2 linked regions of the Drosophila melanogaster genome follow. Changing the gene in region 1 together with any one later gene gives a genetic interaction. Each region holds a gene or a part of one and is shown in the gene's direction. Other genes may lie near its edges.

Evidence for each region.
Region 2: of sws (region 1) and Pka-C3, changing one enhances a phenotype caused by changing the other (phenotypic enhancement), as found in Drosophila melanogaster (one study listed by BioGRID).

The regions. Positions count from the first base shown.
Region 1 is NC_004354.4:7,964,073-7,971,716, reverse strand, and holds the start of sws (swiss cheese), read left to right. Parts: upstream 1-3,480; 5' UTR 3,481-4,175; coding exon 4,176-4,277; intron 4,278-6,767; coding exon 6,768-7,499; intron 7,500-7,544; exon of another isoform or gene 7,545-7,574; coding exon 7,575-7,644. UniProt on the Drosophila melanogaster protein: Phospholipase B that deacylates intracellular phosphatidylcholine (PtdCho), generating glycerophosphocholine (GroPtdCho). This deacylation occurs at both sn-2 and sn-1 positions of PtdCho.
Region 2 is NT_037436.4:15,949,733-15,957,619, reverse strand, and holds the start of Pka-C3 (protein kinase, cAMP-dependent, catalytic subunit 3), read left to right. Parts: upstream 1-2,822; 5' UTR 2,823-2,863; coding exon 2,864-2,969; intron 2,970-3,032; coding exon 3,033-3,095; intron 3,096-4,626; exon of another isoform or gene 4,627-5,518; intron 5,519-7,887. Other genes in the region: elgi (early girl), read right to left, coding at 37-481, 555-697, 781-870; GXIVsPLA2, read right to left, coding at 1,567-2,009, 2,073-2,232, 2,311-2,400. UniProt on the Drosophila melanogaster protein: Does not have an essential role in development.

The DNA.
Region 1 (7,644 bases):
ATGCAATTCCTCGAACGGAAAATAATACTCTACCGAGTCGCAGTGGTGCCTTAGTTTCGGGATCGATTTCGATTACTTGTAATTAAAGTGCAAATACAAGTATGAGCAGTTATTATGACGAATTATATGGAGAAAGATATAAACAATTTAATGATTTTACAAATTCTAAATGAGTAAGCATGTACGACTAAATTCTTAGGAATTAACTAAGTTTAGATGGCGTAACTTTAATATTGCATTCTAAAATAGCTTAAATTTAATTTCCATTTCCATTTTCCAGTGCAGACGGACCGGCAGGACAAACGACAGGACGGACAGGAGCGGAAGAGCAGACACGGATACATACACACGAATACGTATAGGAATCGGATTGGGATGGATATGGATTGGATGCGTTTTTGAGCATGGAAACAAAGGACCAAAGAGTAAAGTCCGTGCGGCGGAAGGAACGGAGCCGGAGAAAATGTAAACACGGCAAAGCTAAACATGAAGAGGGAGCGATAAGTGAGAGCGAGAGAGAGGAATAACGGTTAGAAAGGGGGCGGGGCCACGAAAAGGGGGCGGCGGCACCTTTACTGCGTGTTTATGTCTGTTTATAGTTGAACTTGAATGATTGAAACGAGTCAGAAAAGAGAGGAGTACAAAAAGCCACAGAGAGGAGAGTGGAGCAGAGCGGGGCGTGAAGGACAGACAAGGAGAGGAAGAGAAATGCCAATGTCAAGGCAATTAGCCAGCCGAAAGCCGGTTGGAAAAATCAGCGGCCGAACTGGAAAACAATGCCACAAAGTGAGGTGGAGCAGCCGAAGGAGAGCTCAAAATGAAATGCTAAAGTGAAAAATGCTAAAGCAAAAAAGTGAAGAGACAGAGGAAAAAACAGGCAGCGAAGCGAACTGACAACTGCCATAGATTTTATGACTTGCAAGAGGCCCAGAGTAAAGACCGTGGCCATTGGCATTGGCATTACACCTGGAAATGGAGCAGCAGCAGCCGGCTCTGTCTAATTTGCACAAGACGTCTGGAAGTAGAGATGGTCGCGTGACACGATTATCTATTTTCCCCAATTAAAAACTATTTATAAGTCGAAGTATGAAACTAATTAGGTTTCCTATTTGCAACGCAAGAAGTCCCAGATTCAATGTTTAAGTGCAAGTATGTATATTTGCTTGAAGCTGTATTCCCATTTCGAGGCAACAAGCTACAGGAAATTTTTATAATATTTGTTAGATTTTTTGGAAAATAACAAATTGGTCGTGGCACAAAATGGAGCACGGGCCATCTCTAGTCTGGATGAGAGAGCAAAGGCAAAGGAGAGGAGAGCCATCTTTGGGCAAGGAATTCCACTTACTTTCTTTGCTTTTGCTGCTCCTTCTTTTTGGCTCTATGCTCTTCGCTGATTTTGTTGTTGTTGCTGCTGCTGGCGCTGTTTTTGTTGCTGTTGCCGAAGTTGTAACTGTTGTTTTTGTTGTTTCTCGGCGAGATCGAGATGTCACTTAGTTGCTTGTTTTATAGTATTAGTTTGCTGATTATTATCCTGTTTTCGCGTTTTCTATTTAGCACTCGCTCTCTCGTCTCCTTTTTGTCTGCCTTTTAGCCGGTGTTTTTTCAGTGCGTTTTCGTGTGCGTGCGTGTGTGTGCGTCTGTCGTCACACCCTTCACTTCGCCAATTCGAATTTCGAATATATATATCTCTGGGAATATCTGGAATATTTTTTGGCCAACAAATTTCTCACACTCACACAATGTAAAAAAAAGTGAAGAAAAAAACGTAAACAAATCACGGTCAGGGCGGCAATTAATTTGTAATTTCCTGCTCAAATTGGCAGAAGGCAATCGAACGCTTTGCTTTGTCCGGCTCTTTTTTTGGTATGGCAGAAAAGGATTTTCACGATTCGAGATTACTGATTGCAGGTTTTTCTAAGACGAGACGCATGCGCGCACAAAACTTTAAGTTTTACTTTTGCGAGAGAGAGGAGAGAACGACCGCTCACGAACTGCACTCCAGTGGGAATGAAACCCGTTGCGAGCGAAGTTGCGCTATTTGTATCGCCGGCCAGAGATGGCACTGTTGCCATTGCGGCGGCTTCTCACCATAGCAGCGCTCTGTTAGCACAGCCGTCTGGCTATCTTTGTAGCTTACCTAGTGAATTGGATACATGAAAAAGGAGTAGCTATATGTGCGATCCATTATTGTATAAGATGAGCATGTAAGAATTTTATTTTTAGCCTTCACAAAGGAATATCGATATCGATCGAATGGTTGACAAAATGACACACAAAGAAACATTTAGCGGGAAAAGAGCTAAGATCGCAGTGCATTCGAAACAACAGCCAGTTTGTTGTTGTTGGCTGTTGGCTAACAACAGCAGAAACAGACGTCTGCTAGCCAACAGCGCTGTTAGCTTTCGCGCGGCTTTTAAAATACGAAATCGTAACGGTCCCTGGGCAAAGGAAATGTGCATAACTTAAGTGCATTGCATATTTAATTGCAGCTGCAGCCAAAAACTGCATCCGAGACTGCAGCTGGCCACCCGAAAGACGCGTCTCGGCCGTTTTGCTTGGCTGGCAACCGAGACTCTGGTGGAGATGCTTTATGCTCTAATAACCCAAGCTGCACTTGCTTTTATTGGATGTTGCACGTTAGTTTCGGACCTCAGCTCCGATTCGGGTCCGGATTTCACCAAAATCCTTTAAATCAACACACATGAATATTAATACTGATTTTAGATTTTACAGTTGTTAATCACTGAATATTACCAGCGGCCGTCTCCGCTCTTCACGGCTCCTTGACTACCAGCAATCTTAAGCGGAGTTAATTATGCTCGCAAATTAATGTTTGACTGCATGCCAAGACATTTTCGATTCACCTGCACTGTTTTCAAATACAATTTAAGCTCTAGCAGCGCGCGCTCTGCTAAGTTTGTCGCCCCACAGCCATGTTCTTAGCTGTTGTCAACGCAGTGTCGCACTTAACATAGGGTTGTCAAGCAAGAAATAATGATAATGAAATTTAAAAAAAAAGTCAAATAAACAAGAATCTTACATTTATAAGCATATCAGCATATCACTTTTGTAAAAATTAAAATAATAATAATTTATAAGAATAAGAATATATATTATATTATTATTATTAAATATTATTATAATATTTATAAATAATAAGAATAATTTATTTATATATATTTGACTACATAACGTGCCTAACACAAATTTTAAAATTGGCTAAACGTTTTTTCTGATATGGACGCCCTAAGTATTATTTTCCAAATCAAATAATTCGGCTTGCATACACCTAAATTTTTCGAAAGGTTAACATTATTTTGAAATAACCGTTCTAAAGTCGACTTTGTATGGTCACTCTAGCGGGCTGCTCTACACAGCTGTGAAACAATCGATTTCCGGGCATATCGATGTTTTTCAATCCACCATCAAAGCGAATCGATACCAATAACAATAATTCTAGAGTGCATTTCAGTTTATTAGTTTGTAGTTACATAGCAAAATGCGCGTTTATTTCGGCTCAGTAAATTAAGAACATTTTCGTTACACGTTGCCACGCCCCCCCATCCAACGGCAAACCACCCCCCGCCTCCGCCTTCAAGACAGAGAGAGAGATAGAATAAAACAGAGAGAGAGCAACAACAACAATATATAACCAAAACGAAAGATTTCCGCAAGAAACCACAAAAAAAAACAACAATTGCTTTGGTTCTGATGATTCTCGTAACAGCAAAAACAACAAGATTTATAATCTAAATCAAAAGAAACTGTGCTCTCCGCTGTGCGTGGCTGTGAGTGCGTTTGTGCGGTACGGTGCGTGCATTATAACAATTATTGCACAAAAGGCATGACAAACGTGGGGCGGGGGTGTCTGTAAATGTGAGTGCGATAGAGCGCGACATATTCAAACAAGCTAGGGACGGAGTAGGTGAGCGAGGGAGAGAGAGAACGCGACGGTGGCAACAACAAAGGGCTGTGATTTTACTTTGCCCCCTCCACCCTGTACCCCGTCCCATCCATACACTTGCGTATTTACCAAATAAACGGAACATACATAAGCCAAAATAGGCAGAACAACAACAACATTAAGAGTCAACTAAACAGCAAATCGAATAGTTTCGTGGGAGAAAGGACAGCGTAGCAGAGTCATTGGAAAACTGGCCGCGTAAGGGAGCGCAATGGATGTCCTGGAAATGCTGCGCGCCAGCGCCAGCGGCAGCTACAACACAATATTCTCGGACGCGTGGTGCCAATATGTCTCCAAGCAGATCACAGCAACGGTAAGTGCACTTCACCCTTTCTTTGTCTTTTTATTTGCTTTGACTTTGGCTTGCTGTTTGTTTGCAATATGAGTGAGTCAGTTGGAAGACAATATGTGCGAGAGCGAGAGGACGCGAGGATTAGAAGGGCAGCTGGAAAGCTTAAAAAAAAATGCGATGCAGGATTACAGCTGTTCGGGCTTGTGTCCGTGCTTAACGCGCGGGAGAGAGAACGTGAGCGAAAAGAGAGCATGTGGATCTTACTTGAGCAGGATAACAGCTGTTTTAGGTTCATGTCCAGGCTACATATAATATAAGATTAATAAGTATTTACGTACTCACGTCACAATTCTTTTATATAATTCAAGAATTTTATTATGAATATAGCTTTTTTTTGTGACAACATCCATAAAGATTAGGTCCCCTGATAAAAATCACAGAATGAGCGATAAAGCAGACCTAAGTAGTTAAAGTAAAGTAAACAGACATTATTCAAGAAAACCCACTTGAGTATTGAGAGCAAACACCTGTTAGAAAATTCCACTGTATTTTGTATGCGATTTTTTAATGTGTAATCCCATTATCTTTATGGAAATTTTTCTAAAAAAAAATTTTTACAAAATGTTAGCTTGACGAATAAATGTCGGCCAGACATCATAGGTTAAGTACTTAGATTTATAGGTAGAAGAATCGAAATAGTCGCTGTTCCTGACTAGTTTACCATAACTTAGTTCTAGTAAACCCTATCAGCGGATTGAAGTTTAGACCCCAGCTAAAGTTTAGAACGATACAGGCTAAGGCAAGTGTGGATTTCAGGACTCTAATCTCTCTTAGAACCCAGCCAAATGATAAGAAAAGAGAAAAACCGGAAGAGAAAAGGGGAAACTTCCGTGTTTTCATTTGTCGCCACAAATCGAAATTGTTTTGTGGCCTTACATAAAACAAAACGAATGAAAAACAAAAACCACTGACTACAGTAGCCACATGATAACACCACACGACCATAGTATTGATAATGACACCCAGGCGACCCCGAAGCAAGCAAAAAAAAAAAAAGAAAAACTAAACCACCCGAGCTGATAACTATGATAACCGATTGCTAATCAGAAGCACGTGCAATCGTGGGCGGGGGGTGCGTACGAAATCAGTTTTCAATAATTCAATTAACCCCTTGGGGCCAAATCAATTTAGCCGCCTTGTGACTGCGCGAATTTTATCATTATCGTGTTGTTATGCGAGTGTGTGTATGTGTGTGCTGTCCGATTAGATCAAAGCAAATCCAATTGGATAAGTGCGTGTGTGGCGCAGCTTCGGCTTCCAATTAGACCGACTGAGTCAATTGGTATTTATGGCATTTTTTCTTGTACATTTTGCAAACCTGTTGTAAAAATAAACTGTAAACAAACAATAATTGCTGGGGGTAATAAAAGACAAACAGTAAGGTGCACAGTGAGAAAGAAAATGTGCAACTTATAGATTAAAAAAAAATGTTTATTTCTATCGAAAGAAATCGAAACTACGCCACTATAATTAACGTTTAATGAAGTGCGAGAAAACGCTACATTTTTCGCGCTGTGTAGTATCAAATGCGGAAACTGCAGACAATAACAAATGGGTAGCAGCAACAACAAATTGCCCGAGAAACTACTGCCACAACAAAAACAGCAAATGCAACAACAACAACCGCATCGAACAAGAACAACTCACTCAGAACCGCTAGCAACAAACAATAAAACAAACATACATACATACATACATACATATGTATGTGCAGCGACGTTGCGTCGCCGTTTCAATGTCAAAGTGCCGAGTGCAACAACAAGATTTAGGGAAAATAACAACAAAACACAGCTGATGCACTTGATTACACGGGCGTGACACTTGCTTTTGGGAAATTCCAAGTGTCTTCGTGCTAAATAATTCATCCTAAATAACTGGGCGACGTGGAAAATACGAAATGAAAATCATATTGGAGACGACATCAAAAACCCTTATATCCTTTCGTTTCAATGTCATAAGCTGAAGAAGAATGGGAAACTAATTAACCAATTAATTAATAATTAAGAAACGTGATTTAGCAAAGGAGTTGGCACATTAGTACAAGAATTCACATTTTTTTGTTTTGCATTTCAGCAAAAGTGAAAAACCATATAGAATCAAAAGCATATTATATCATAGTTAGATTACCCTTTCATTTTACTTCAAAAACACTTTCAAACACTTCAAACACTTTTAGTTCAATTTTAGATCAAGAATAACAAAAAAAAAAAAAAAAAACATTTTCTTATATATATATATAGATTTTCTTTATATTAGCCTTTAATAGCTCTATTAAGAATGTTAAGTTTGGAACCAGCTCGATATGACATCGATTTCAACTTCCGAGGAAATCAGACAGTTTTCACGTGGTTGCAGCAAAGAGTTCTACCAAACTCCACAGCCATTATAATGAAGGCCTTTGAACTGAGGAATCAACTAATTGCGCGCTATCTTATACAAATTCCTTTGCAGGTGTACATGTATTTCGCCCTGGTAATGATGAGCCTGCTCTTCATAGCCTGGTTCTTATACTTCAAACGAATGGCACGTTTGCGTTTGCGCGACGAGATTGCCCGTTCCATTAGCACCGTAACCAATTCATCCGGCGATATGCGTGGCCTGCGTTTCCGGAAGCGTGACAAGATGCTATTCTACGGCCGTCGAATGCTGCGCAAAATGAAGAACGTGAGCGGTCAAATGTACAGCAGCGGTAAGGGCTACAAGCGTCGTGCTGTCATGCGTTTCGCGAGAAGGATACTCCAGCTGAGGCGGGATAATATGCCGCTAGAGATGCGCACCGTGGAGCCGCCAGCCGAGTATCTGGAGGAGACAATCGAGGGCAGCGATAGAGTTCCGCCCGATGCACTCTATATGCTCCAGAGCATTCGCATTTTTGGACATTTCGAGAAGCCGGTCTTTTTGCGGCTCTGCAAGCACACCCAATTGCTGGAACTGATGGCCGGCGACTATTTGTTTAAGATAACCGATCCGGACGATAGCGTCTATATCGTTCAATCGGGCATGATCAATGTGTACATCTCCAATGCCGATGGCAGCACACTATCATTGAAGACGGTCAGGAAGGGCGAGTCGGTGACATCGCTGCTCAGCTTTATTGATGTCCTGTCGGGGAATCCCAGCTACTATAAGACGGTCACCGCCAAAGCCATTGAGAAATCGGTGGTCATTCGTCTGCCCATGCAGGTAGTTTATCTAACTAAACTAAATGTTCATTGAACACTCACTTACTTCTTATTTTTTTCCTCCTTGCTTTGGCAGGCATTCGAAGAGGTGTTCCAGGACAATCCGGACGTAATGATTCGCGTCATCCAGGTGATTATGATCCGGC
Region 2 (7,887 bases), on another chromosome or scaffold:
TTAACGTTTTAAAAAAATTTAGAATTTGGGCTTCACCTGCAGTGCATCGTCGGGCGTAGAGATCATTCCCCCCCAGCGCGTAACCCTGGCCCGGGGCAGTGTGCTGCTCCAGCGGATCACCTCGTCGCGCTCCATCTGGTCGGCTATGGCCCGCATCGCAGGATTGGAGACGCGCATGGCACGCATAAAGTCCTTGAATAGCTGCAGCTCGCGCTTCAGTTCGTTGATAGTCAGCTGCTGGTCGGTGAGCTCCGATTTGAGCTCACCCATTTTTTCCGTCTGCTTGACAATTAAAGTGCGCAGCTCCCGCACGCAGTTGTGGTCCTTTAGCTCATCCTTGGGTATGTCAAAGCCGCATCCCTTCTCGCAGGGAAATGGTCGCTTCGGATTGTGAATGCATTCGTCCAAATGGGAATTGTAGGCGTCTAGCTTGAGAACAGCCGTGCAGCCATAAGGCGCATTGTCACAGGTGATTGACAGTCTGGTTGGCAAGGGTCAAAGATTAGTTAGAGTCCACAAGGTTCACAGAGTAGAAGGCGTTGGGTTTTTCTCACCTGGACAGTAGGTTGCGCAATATGCGAGGCACTGCCCGCAAGTTGGCAGTAGTCAGGGAATTTCGATCCACCGGACAAGTGGGCTGGCGGGTTAGCCACTCGTTAATGCATCCGCGGCAGAAGGCGTGCTCGCACATCACGGCCTGAATCGGTAGATATGTATGATTGTTTGTATTTAAAGCATATGTATGATTCGCGGTGTGCGTTCTTTGCAAACAAAACAAACCTGCAGCGGATCCTCAAGCACTCCGGAGCAGATGGGACAGGTGAGCTCCTCGTCCACCTCCCCCTGAAAGCGATTCACATCGTAGCCCATCTTAGGTCCTCAGCACGCTGGCCATCCGCATAAAAATACTATTAATAATTCTTTTCTGCGGATTGCAAAATCTGTGTGTTTTTTTTTCGGTTCAGTCAGTGCAGTGTTGTGTAGTGTGACTGAGTAGTGTTGGAAAGCTAGGATGGCACTTCAGCTGTAATCCGCGAGAAATGGCTTCTTAAAATAACTGTTTAGCTTGAAAATATTGAGATATTTTCTGTTCCACCTTAGTTTTAAACTTAAGTTTGACTTAAAGTCAAAATTTTTGATATAATAGAATTCTTGTTTGATCTCCATTCATTTATTTGTACTATTAAATTAGCTTTGGCCAGGCAGCTTAACAAATTAAATACGTCATCGTCCTGGTTAAAATATGTTTACACACTTGTCGATCATATGATTAATAAATAATATACATATCCTGCCCAAAGGACCACGTCAGCATAAGCCACCGGTGATTAATCAGCGCACAGTTGATTTAAAAATATAGCATCTTTATAATAGGTAAAAATATCAATGTATTTAACAGTCTGGACCGTTGGCATGCCACTATTTGGTATACAATAATGAAATTCGTCAAAAAGGGAGTCCAATGGACATGGCTACCCAATTCATAGACTAACACAACACATAAAACATTTAACGCTTAATCCGATACCCCCAGGTCCCCGCACCCTCGTAGCCAGTGATCCTGTACTATATCTCGTTGCGATCCTTCCAGCCATATTTCTGGCGCTGCTGCTTCTCCCTACTATTGCTATTACCCTGCCTATTGCCATTGTAGGAGGAGCTCTTCGGCGGGGCGCAATAGCAGGATCTCTGCTGGGAGTCCAGATAGGAGCGGCATCCCAGGGTCAATGTGCCGGTGAATAGCATCTTGGCAGCCGCCTTGCAGCCCTTCATCATCAGATCGCTGGCTATGGACTTCTCGTAGCTGTCGCAGTACTTGTACAAGCACCTCTTGAAGTCCAGGTCGCACAGCTCCTTATCGCTATTGCAGGTGTCGTAGCAGATATCGTGGTCATTGCAACATGTCTCCATCTCCTTGGCCGGCAGATAGTCTGTGCTGATCCTCAGGCCCAAGGAACCACATCCATCTGCGGTGGGGGTATAGAACTTATTCTGAACCGCTCTGGGCGCTGTAAGATAAACACACATATGGATGCTGGGGAATTTACATAATGCGCAGTGCGTCACCACACCTGGTCCTCCGATATCCGGTGCGGGGCACTGGTATATGCAGTTCTCGTCCACGGCCGCATCGAAAACCTCGTGGACCGTGCGAAATTTGCGCACCAGCACTATCAGGTTCTTGAACACGTCACCAAAGATCGCCTCCGCGGCTATAATGGCATCCCTTAGCTAAATCCGGGGAGAGAAGATACAGGAGTAACAGATACTAGCTCTCACAGATTTCCTACGAGAAGCGGTGCACCTTACGTGGACTATGGTGCTGGATCCATAGCCTGAATAGGCGTAGGTTAGGAACGTAAGAAGGTATATGGCCACCTTCATCCAAGAGAACTGCATGTTCGCTGTTTAATTCGTTTTTGAAGGGTCAGCTATTTGTTGTTTGCGCGTAATAATAAACTAAACTATGCGAAAGACATTTGTAGCAGTGTGACCAGGCGTCATCGTTCAAATATACCAACCGGCTCGGAAATCATACCAAACTGCATATGAGGTTGCATACTTTTAGGCACTGTCCTGACATTTCAAAAAATCCTAATGGGAAATTTAAAACCGTTTTTAAATATTATAAATAAAATACGTTATGATTTATAAAACAAAAAAATTTATGAAAAATAAAATCTTGTTGGCTTTGCAGAGAGTATTACAATTAATGCTATACATTAATAAAAGTAAATTGAATTTCAGAACACTGGCGCCATCTGGTACAGACAACTCAAAACATTTAACTGACAATACATATACATCGATATTTCGAGGGGGGAAAATTCAAAAAATTGGGAATAAACAAAATTTTCCTTAAATGGATTTGTGGCATATATTTTTGGAACGTATTTTAGTGGCTTGCAGAGTCAGCGCAAGTGTCTTCGCAAATTTCGGCTGCGGTTTGTATTCCAGCTGGAAGCTAAGTGAGTTGTTTCCCACAATTATACTTAGTGCGGCAAGGATACTAACATTTTTATGCCTTACAGTCTGCGGCGACCATGACTCGGCTTCCGGTCTGCGGGCAGGACTTGCCACGCCCACTCAAAGAGGTGAGTGCATGCAGTGTCCTTGCACTTGACAAACAGGACTGAAGCAGCCTCAAAACGAAATAGTGAAATAGGGAAAAAAAAGTCGCGCACAGAAAACGTAAACGCAAAGCTTGCTGACATCTCGTGCCTGCCTTCGCTTAATTATAACATCAAATTGAAATGCACACGGCAATTGTATGCGGCACCTGAAATGAGACTGTGGCACGCAGGCGTCACTCGTACTCGCATTTCGTTTGCACCTGACCTTGTTGGCCTTTATTACAACGGCCAGCGAAATCAACGTGCATAAACATGCGAACGCAACACCCGAAAACCGTTAAAGAGGCGCGCTCGCTGTTTGCTTAAAACCGAAACAGAGGGCTCGTAAATACACAAAACATATTTTCTAGATTTTCTCAGCAACGAATCGGCGCTGCCGCAAAGTCTACTGAAAACAAACAAGACACTGAGGAAAAACACCCCCACCATAAAAACACACATAAACCTTTTGATTTAAAACGACTTCTGGCTTGAATCGTAGGGTTAACTTATGTACAATATGTACATCATGTATGTATTTCATATCTGAATTACATCCTGTATGCATTATTTTCCATCTCTACTATAATAACCAAAAGTCTTAATATTTGTTGAAATAACACAAACATAAATAGGTATAAGTGTTTCTTGGAATATTTAAAAATTCACTGCTGACGAAAAGTCTGCTGGTACTCCTACACTTGGGAAAATCCCACATTTATTACAATTTTCCGACTTTTCGCAGGCAATGTGTCTGTTAAAGCAGTTAAAGAAAAACCAATCCAAAAACTACCCAACATTAGGATTATATTTATTTAATAATCAGGTAAAATCGTAAGATAAAAACGTCTATAAAATCTATTATTAAACGTTGTTAAAAGATAAAAAGATATTTCATAAGAAATATAATTTTGCATTTTCTTATTTATGATAGTAATGAAAGTTGTTATTACACAAAAAAAATATGATAAGAACAGTTAAAATATGTAAATTATTGTCTTCGCAGCGACAAAATATCTACTTTTTTGTCAATGTATGTATCTTCTAGATTAATTATTATATATATATGTATGTATGTAGATTTTGGTCGCTGCAAAGACTTTCAGTTCCGTGATGGTGTTGTCAATTAGGGCGCACACCATGCTGGCCGCCTTATCGCCATCGGTGATTCCGGACCGCCTCCGCCATCCTGATGGCGATGATCCTGTTGCCGCCAAAGCGTTTAGGCCCTCAAATGGAACGGCACTCGGGACACTTGGCCAAAACCAAATATCTGCACACATGGAGAGCAAACACAAACACATCCGACTATCAAGCGAGCATCCCGAAGCCATCTCTCCCTCTCCCCTTGGCTGCCAGCAGAAGCATCATTATTACCATCGTCATCATTGCCCACTGCCCCGCCCCTCCCGACCAGGCCGCCCCCTTTTCCGAACCACCACGACTGTGCTGCCAACTGCGACGCTGACGTCGACGTCGAGAGCTGTGGCAAGCGATTCGCAGATTTTACGTTTCAGTTTCGTGCAAAACGTGGAAGCGGCTGGTCAACCCAAGAAAAACACCACAGAACACTCAGAAATCATTCGAAAGAAAATTGGAAAATTTGACATTGGTCTTCAGACTAGTCAACAAAAAAAAAAACAAAACCTATTCAAAGTTTGCAATCATCACGTTTGATTAATTGCGCTCAGTTGGACTAATTTGGCAATCTGCTGGTTCAGCGGAGGAAACTAACAAAAAACCGAAGAAAAACTGCAAGTTGCGCTGTAAAAACCGGAAATTCTAGATCTCTCGGATCTCACGATCCCAGCGTATATAAACAAAACAAAGCGGCACCTTTAGACACACAACAACAACTAAAAGAAACCGAAGAAAAACCCACGAAAAAAGTGACACAAATAAAGCAAATCGCGATCGCTGTGTCCAGTCGATCCGCAAAAAATAATACCTATGGCCCCCGTATACCTATAACACCCATAATACCTATACCTATACCCCCTCCCGCCGAGAAACGCTGAGTGTTGAGTTTATTTCTGTTTCTGTGTCGGCTTCAGCGGTTTTTTCGCCTTTTTTTCTGTTATTATTGCCGGCCAGAAGCGAAGGAAAAATCGAAATCGACGGCTAGTCGCGGAAAATCGTGCGCTCTTAAAGTAACATATTTATTTTTAACAATTTCGCAAGCGTTCAAATTTTGCTCCAGCAAAAAATCAGAATCAGAACTCACCAACCAACCAGACAATCGCAACCTGAACAACAACAATAAATATAGATCGGCTGTGGGATCGTTAAGTAGGAAAAAAAGAAAAACAAAAACCAAAAGGCTAAAAAAACCAAAAACCAAAACAAAAACCAAACCAAAAGGCAACGACGACGGCCGGCAAATTTGGATCTCAAAATTTAGCTCGGTGAGTAATCGTGGGTAGTGTAAAAAGTGGAAGCCAGCAGCCAGCAACAAATCATAAATGCTTGCTTTCCAAAATAGAAACAAAATGTGGAGATAAATTCGTTTGATGATTAAGCTTTGAGTACTATAATTAGGCGAGCCGATTTAATTAGTACAATTAGCAAATTACACCTCACATGGCGGGCTAAATCTTGATATTTGGAGTGGAAGTGGAAGTTGGAAAGTGTGGGTTTTTTAGATACTTTGAGATCTTGCTAATGCAGTCATTAAGTTCGTTAGATTCGTAGATTAATGCGTCTTTAAACATTTAAATAGAGGTGGAAGATCTAACTCGTCATAATGTTAAAATAAATATGATAAATATAAATAAGAATAAAATGCTAAAATGTCTGATTTAATGGTATATATCCCATATATCCCACATATATATAAATTAAAAAAGGCGTGTAAAATATTTTGAATTTTCTTGAACATTTCAAAGTTCAGAAAGCGTGATAAATTATTAGATTCTTCACTGACAAATGGTAAATATATAAAAAATTCCAAAAATGTATGATTTACTTATGCTTAATAATTCAAGAAAGATAATATTCGAGTTTTCCGCTTCTTTCAAAATCTGCCAGCTATTTGCATTCAGGTGACCCCATTTAAATTGCTTTTCTTCATGTCGCGCTTCAATAACTCTTCGCCAACTCAGTCAAGGACTTTCGAAATCTATTCCCCAACTTCTCCATACGCATAAATGTTTATATGTTTGCCTAGCCAATTACAGCAGTGGCAACTTAAGTGAGGAACTAGCACAAGGACAACGGAAGTACTTGCTCCATAAAAACAAATCCAAGACCATAAATCTGTATCGTCCTTATGTGAGTTTGGGAAAACCAACCAGATCCCAGTGAAAATACTCGTAAGGAAAACAAAGCGTGTCGCTGTATTTATGTTATGATTGCATTTAGCCGGCATTATTTTTGACGATTATTGCCATTTGGGTTTTATTAGCCAGAAACGCATGGGAGCGACAATCCTTATTTCGTCAACCGAAAATGGCCAATGAATTTTCGTTTTCGTAACACCCCCATCATTAATTCAAGTGAATGCACTTATTCAGTTAATTACATATCCTGGCGTATGAAAAATATTATTAATGACAACGCCTACAGCAAATTCTCTTTGACTGTTTGGAAATTCGAAAATACACCGATGACGATGATATTAATATGAGACGCTTTCTTTTTATGAAAAAGTAAGCTATCTATAAATTCGTGAACACATATTTTTAAACAAATCGCCTCGCGCTGTTCTGAATTAATTAAGCACACAATTTATGCCTTAGGTCGCCCAACGAATTAATAAATGTTGCAAACATTGCACCCCAAATTAATTTCCCCTATCAAAAGGTCAATTGGCTTGCAGTCACAAGATTAGGAAATCTTCTTTTGCTCAGCATTTTAAAATATATTCGCTGATTTTCCGAATAAATCAAGTGTCTTTATGTTAGGTGAGCTAAGGCCCATGGGAAAAGTTTCATAATTTTTTCGAGGAAATTTCCTTAAGCATAAAAGTTATACCGAATAATTTATTGAATTCAGCTCATAAATGGGATTTGTGTAGAAATATTTTGAATGGATTTTATAGGAATATAAGTAATTTCAAGTTGTTAGGGGTTCCATTCTCTGGAAAAAGTGCAAATAGGAAGATATTATCTCGAAATTTGTATATTATTTGGCGTAGCTTTTCTAAAGTAAACGTCATAAAACGTTTATTGACCCTTGCACGGAATCCGTCTCTTAATCAGAATTTGTAAATCCATTTCTGCAGAAGCAGATAACCCTGATCTTGCGAAATCTCACACCCCATTCACCTGATCTTAGCATCTTATCTCGCAGGCACTAATTCTTGAGTTTAACGTTAGTACGAGCCATATACAATAGTATATACTTTTTATTGCGTTTTCCATTCACGAAAAGTAGAAGCGACTACAAGAGAAGGAAAAAAAAAAAACAGAGTGCTGGCCACCGGAAGATTAGGCAACAATTTAACATTTGGCTGGCTGGCTGGCAACGACGACCCCAATTTCCATTTCCATTTTCAAATTTGGCAGCCGCCAAGGTGAATGGGGCCGATCTTCAGAGTGTAAGTGGGTATACATATGTGAATATATATGTATATATATATATATCTGCATATAGGACTGAACGATCGGCTGAGATCGGTTGTTTCTGCTTCTTGGTTCTTTTGGTCGCTTTGCTAATTTACAGCCCGAGTGATTGTCTACAATAATTTTTGAAAAATTATTCTCAAAACAATCCATGCACTTTGCCTTAGACAACTTTAATTTATATTTCCGCACTTTAATGCGTTGGCGTTTCA